Tribolium castaneum: one gene and its partner. Each later gene encodes a partner of the first gene's protein in a complex. Links are inferred from orthologs where the notes say so. Each region holds a gene or a part of one and is shown on either strand. Other genes may lie near its edges.

Region 1 (3,763 bases):
AGACTTAAACTCTTTTACCAGCAAGTGTTGTTCTTTCAATTTTTTGCTTTTCTGACCATTTTTGTAGTGATTTTTTTTAAATTCGTTTAGTTTTAAGTGTTATGAAAACGAAAATATGCCTAGAATTCGTCAAAAAAAAATTAACAACAAATAGACAAACTTTAAAAAGCACAATTTTTGGGAAACGAATAGGTGTTTTTTTATTTAGAGAAATCGCTATTTGTTTGAAGAGTAATCCAAGAATCATTATGCGATGTTATCAGTCATTGATTAGAGAAGGTTCAGGACAAAGCAAAAGAGAAAACAGACTTAAAAAAACAAATGAAGTCCAAAGTGGTCATCTTCGGATTATGGCAATAATTCAAGTACAAGAAAAATTTCTGACCAATGGTTGAGTTTGAAGGTCGTTGTACTTCACTTCTGAGTGTTTACCATCGAATTAGGTCATTTGGACTACTTTTTGTTGGATTTTCTAAGTATGGGAGGAATGAGCAAAATCAGCTTAAACCAGACACACCAAAACTTTTTTTTGGAAAGACAACGTGTTTCAACCACAAAGTGGTCATCCTCAGGTGAAAATATACACTATATGCATTGACCGCATTATGGTCAAAACGCGTTGTGTTTCGAAATAAAAGTTTCATGAGTCAGGCTTAGATATAGGTTTTTGCCCATTCCTCCCATACCAAGTAAATCCAACAGGAAACAGTCCAAATGACCCATTTCGATGGTAAACAGTCCAAAGTGATAAAAAACGACCTTTAAACCCACCCATTGGGCAAAATTTTGTCTTGTAATTAAATTATAGCCATGACCATTTTGGACTTCATTTGTTTTTTTTAAGGTTGCTTTCTCTTTTGCGCTGTCCTGGGCTTTCTACAGTCTATGACTGATAACACTGCTTAATGATACTTCGATTTCTATCCAAAAGACTAGCAATTTCTCTAATTGAAAAACCCCTATTTGAAGTCCAAAAATCATGCCTCCTTCAAAACTGCTTAAATTGTTAGTAATTTTGGTTTTGTCGTCTCCAGGCCTACTTGCGCTTTTAGAACACTTAAACCTAAACGAATTTAAAAAAAAACACAAAAAAAATCGTCAGAAAAGCATAAAATTCTAAGAATAACACTTGCTGGTAAAAGAACTTCAATATTAAAAACTCCCTTACCACTTGATTAAAATCGTTCAAATTTATTACTCGCTAATTCTAATTCCTTCCTGGTGCTGCAATTTTTATGATTTTTTTATTTTTATGAAAATAGTTGGGTGAAATGAAATCAAATTTAAGGTAAAGACATTGACTTATCTGAAACAAATCAGCATTTACAATATTTTTGTGTCATATACTTATATCATAAACAATTGTTTCGGTCAAGAATTTTTTATTTAGAGTTGCCAACTTAATTTAAAAGTCACAGGCCACCTTAATCAGAAAGTTAATTTATTGAGCGCATGAAAGTTCTTTACCACGTCTCAGATTAAATACTAATAAATAAAAAAAAATATTATACGGTCCTGCTTTGTTTATCTTTTTTCTGGTATCTTTCGTTCGAAAGTTTTTTTTTTTTTTTTTTGTAAAACCTACTTGTTGGGTGAACTGTGGGGCAGGAGGGACGTGTCCGGGGTGTGATTGTGGCTGTGGTCGGGCGTGAGCGAGTTCGCGCTCGAAATACTCGACAAAATATCCGAAACGGGGGCAACCCCCAACGAGCTGAGCATTTCATCCAACTCCTTCCTGTCTCCTTCCGTCCCCAAAATCACCCTGTTGGCCGCCTCCTCCACATCCTTGAGTTCCTTCTCCCGGCGCCGGCGGTCCTTCTCCTCCCTCAGCGCCTGGAGCCGGGCCTTCTTCCTCTCCAGTTCGGCTTTGCGGTCCGACATGGCTTAAATCCTGGAAAAAACGGACTGTCACAGCGCCAAATCGCCGGCTCGCGATCGAAAAACCCCCGAGATGAAAGGTCAAGAAGGTTTAGGTCGCGTTCTTGGCGATGGGAGTGGATAAACGGATTCGCCGTACTTGGACAGCCCCTTTTGTGGCAAGTGCCAACAACACTTACCTATGAATGTACAAATTACACGAGACGACAAATTGCACTTAATTTACGTGGAATTAATGAGTTTTTCGAACGACTTTTTACGTTTCCTTTGGATTTAATTTACAACGCCCGACCGATACAACCACCATTTCATTTTTGTGATGACGTAATGTGGCGAGTCATCAGGGATTTCTCCGCGAGATTTCGGGATATATTGACTGGAGTTCGCTGATTTTACGGGGGAATCACAATTCCTGGGAGGGAATAACGTGATTGATCGATTACAGAAACCGGTTCGGCGGATTTTTAACGAAAAAACCGCGATTTTCCTCAATTTGATGACATTTTGTCACACTTTTTGGTCGCTAGGTTGGTACGACAACTGGAGAGGGAACGTCAATTTAACGGGGCTAGCACGCACGCCTATGGAAATTCATTCCATTGGAGGGCCACTTTGGGCGCCCCCAGTTACCTTATTTAAAATCATTTCAGTTTTTTTATCAGAAGCAAGTGATAAATTATTAGGCTGGTGTCAAAGCTAGTTTTTTTAAGTGTACTGGTTGGCAGTGCTCATTCACTGACACAGTCACTGTCCACTTATAAATTTTTGAGATAGTTTTAACAAAATTTTGCAAAAACAGAGTCTTTTAAATCAGAACTGTACTTAACCGCTCAAAAAATGCAAAAGTAACGTAGTTTTTCTTCCATCAAACTACCAGTTTGAACAAAATAAAAAAAAAAAAATTTGAGTATTTTTGTCAGAAAACATTGCTGAATAACGTGGCCAAACCTTGAACAATAAAAACAAAAATAACTTTTTTTAACTAAATTTTGGCACAAAAAAATGAGTTTTTTAAGTAAAAAATGTATTTAGATATTCGAAAAAATGCAAAAATAACGTCATTTTTGACCTAAATAGATGATTTTTCGAGCATCACTTTGAATATAATATATATAATATATATAATATAATATAATCAGCAAATTTTTAATAAAAAAAGTGTGTCTAACAAAAAGATGTACCTTAACGTTTGAAAAAATTACATGGCTTCTTCCTTCATTAAAGTCGTGACTAAAAATTAATTTTTAACTCAAAATCATTATTAAAAAGCAAAATAAAAAAAACATTTTTACTTTTACATTTTTCGGTTCAAGAAATCCTGCGATTTTGTATCTCGTTTCATCTCCTAACTTATGGTTCTCCGTAATCATCTCTTAAAAATTAATTAATCTTATTTATTTCCATACAATCAATACTATTACAATACGATTGAATTATTTATAATGTGGTGAGTCATTGATTTAAATTATAAAATAACGACAGCTTCTACCAACCGTAAAAAGTAAAATTGACTTCAAATCAATATTCTCAGCTTCAAATTTCTCACATATTTGAACAATCACGACGTTTTGTAGCAACTGGGCTTTTTTATTGGATTGAAACAGCACATAAGGGCTCATTCACTTGTGCATAGAATTCATTTCAATCCGATAAAAAATTGCCAGTCACTCGAGCGCCCTCTATCCCAATTCTCACAAACGTTAAATATAAGCCACAGAATGTCAGACGAAGTAACTTTTGACTACGTTAGAAGCCTAAAAGACAACAGACAGGTTCTTCTAATTGATGTGAGGAACCCGTCGGAATTAGCGCAAACTGGAACAATTCCTGGAAGCATCAATATACCTTGTAAATACCCTAATTAACTTATGAATTAACTGCAAAG
Region 2 (2,284 bases), on another chromosome or scaffold:
ACAATTACAAGTTACTACAAGCACAACTGTGTTTTAATGATCGCCGTGGTGGCCGTGCTCAGAGGGGTACATTTTGTCGTAAATGGCAGTACCAGCAATGGTTATAAGGAAGGCGGCAAAGCCGGTTCTGAACCCTCTATAGAAGAAAAGTCGAAATCTAGATTTTTCCGTGCCAAATTCCTTAGGGTTGTAGCGCCAGACTTCGTTGCGAAGCCAAGGGTCCTTCAGACCTTGACAAGCTAACGCCCTTTTGGTGTTCATTAATTCGGGAATATCCTCAACTTTGTAGATTTTGTAATCAGGGATTGTGTAAGGTTCGTGTCCGTGCCCATGGCCGTGTCCCCCCATCTCTACAATATAACCTCACTTTATTATGCAACAATTTTTTCAAAATCCTGAAACAACCTCTTGTGGAAATATTATGTAATTGGAAGGGACTGATAATTAATGTAGGTTTCGTAAAGAATAACCACTAGTGTTTATAAAAAAATTGCTACGATAATAAAAATGTCACTAGTAAATCGCGCAATGTCGCCAATAGCGGAACAAGAAAGTTTCTAAATTTGTGAATCATTCTGGGGCGCAAGATTAAATAAATTTCAAACATTTGAGTTAGAGTTTATTTGTGAATAAGCATATAAAAATTTAAACGACAAAAAGCACGAAACGTACAATAAATTAGCAGTGCATAATGACACAAAACAGGCAATAACACTAATCTGTGGGACTTTGAACGACAATCAATATAAATTCTTTATCAGGAGCCACCATAATTTCGTGTTTCTTTGACCTTATCCGTAAAAACGTTAAATCGTTTGAAGGGTCTAAATCTCTAACCACACTCCTTGCTTTATCAGCCAACGAACTTATAAGTCCAGCGTATTGGACTGTTGTAGTATTATCCAAGGTGGTTTTAATCGGAATCCCTAAAATTCAAGTTTCTAAGGCCCTCACAGCCAAACTATGAGCTTATCACCTTCGGAATTGACCACTATTGTACCGATTACGCCCTTGTGGGATTGGATCCGTTTCATCGTTTCCTCCACTTCGTTCGACTGCAAACATAACTCTAAACCCGTATTCTTCTACAATTTGCATTGTACTTACCATTTTGTATTTATTTGGCTAAATTATTTATTGGAATTTTTTGCACAAAAGTGACAGCTATCAAATAACTGTTAACATGACAACAGCCCCACGTGACCACTGTCGCCAACATTCCATTATTAAATTTAATTTTTTGATGCACAGGTAAATATCCTTAAAATTGCCAACCTTGGTAGTTTGACTCCTTCAATCAAACAACACAAATATGGAATCATTTTTTAACAATTTCGAAAGAAATTTAGTTATCGGCAGGAGTTATTCTTAAAAAATTCTCGAAAGCCGACATTCTCAACTGCCCATAATCTCGCCTTTTCCGAGGTCAGGATCGCCAACGTTACATTTAAATAATTTTTTAACCTCACTTTTAAACATCAGAATGAGCAAAAATCGCGAATTATTATCAAAAATCGGCTTAAGACAGGACGGAAGACGCGCCGACGAGTTACGGAGGATCCGCTGCAAGCTGGGCGTGTTCACTGAACCCGACGGTAGCGCCTATTTGGAGCAGGGCTTGACTAAAGTTCTGGCGGCTGTGTATGGGCCCCACCAGGTTGGTTTTGCGTCTTTAATTATGATAAAATTTCATGCTGAACTTTAGGTCCGCGGCAGTCGCAGCAAAGCGCAACATGACTCGGCTGTGGTCAACTGCCAGTTTAGCATGGCTGTGTTTTCAACAGGGGAGAGGAAGAAGCGGCCCCGGGGGGACCGCAAGTCGACTGAAATCTCCATTCACTTGAGGCAGGCTTTAACTGCGGCGATCAAAGTCGAGTTGTATCCCTGGACCCAGATTGATGTTTATGTTGAGGTGCTGCATGCAGATGGGGGCATTTATCCGGCTTGTGTGAACGCCGCCACTTTGGCACTGATTGATGCGGGGATTCCGTTAAAGGAATATGTCTGTGCGTGTACTGCAAGTTTGGCAAATAATGATGTGCCGCTACTTGATGTTTCGCACCAGGAAGAGATAATAGGGGGGCCCACGTTGACAGTGGCAGCGTTACCAATGTCGGGGAAGATTGTCTTGATGGAAATGTCACAGAGGTTTCATGTGGACCACTTACAGAAGGTTTTAGACAAGGCTTTACAAGGGTGTAAAGACATTAAAAGTATTTTGGATGAGGCAGTCAAGAGTCACATTCAGGATGTTGGTAGTTCGACAGGTTGGGCAAGCACAACG

The links. The genes of interacting proteins can lie anywhere in the genome.
Region 2: the proteins of sw (region 1) and robl are in contact, whole or in part, in a crystal structure (PDB 3L9K), measured with the Drosophila melanogaster proteins. The link is inferred for Tribolium castaneum from reciprocal best matches to the Drosophila melanogaster genes sw and robl. Residues at the interface, in NP_477075.2 of Drosophila melanogaster: Leu242, Lys247, Ile250, Ile251, Leu252, Asn255, Phe256, Gln257, Phe259, Val260, Val261, Arg262, Ala263, Gly264, Val266, Ile267, Glu268, Ala270, Leu271, Ser272, Glu273, Asn274, Val275, Asp276, Ile277; in NP_523771.1 of Drosophila melanogaster: Glu4, Val5, Glu6, Thr8, Leu9, Arg11, Ile12, His15, Lys16, Val18, Val23, Ile29, Pro30, Val31, Phe69, Arg71, Arg73, Glu78, Met80, Ala82, Asp84, Asp86, Phe87, Ile88, Leu89, Val91, Gln93, Asn94, Pro95, Thr96.

The regions. Positions count from the first base shown.
Region 1 is NC_087400.1:4,950,520-4,954,282, forward strand, and holds the start of sw (cytoplasmic dynein 1 intermediate chain), read right to left. Parts: upstream 2,425-3,763; 5' UTR 2,058-2,424; intron 1,892-2,057; 5' UTR 1,882-1,891; coding exon 1,586-1,881; intron 1-1,585. UniProt on the Drosophila melanogaster protein: Acts as one of several non-catalytic accessory components of the cytoplasmic dynein 1 complex that are thought to be involved in linking dynein to cargos and to adapter proteins that regulate dynein function.
Region 2 is NC_087396.1:13,483,633-13,485,916, forward strand, and holds robl (dynein light chain roadblock-type 2), read right to left. Parts: upstream 1,256-2,284; 5' UTR 1,111-1,255; coding exon 1,108-1,110; intron 1,056-1,107; coding exon 977-1,055; intron 927-976; coding exon 715-926; 3' UTR 607-714; downstream 1-606. Other genes in the region: ND-B12 (NADH dehydrogenase [ubiquinone] 1 beta subcomplex subunit 3), read right to left, coding at 34-348; Ski6 (exosome complex component RRP41), read left to right, coding at 1,484-1,657, 1,706-2,284.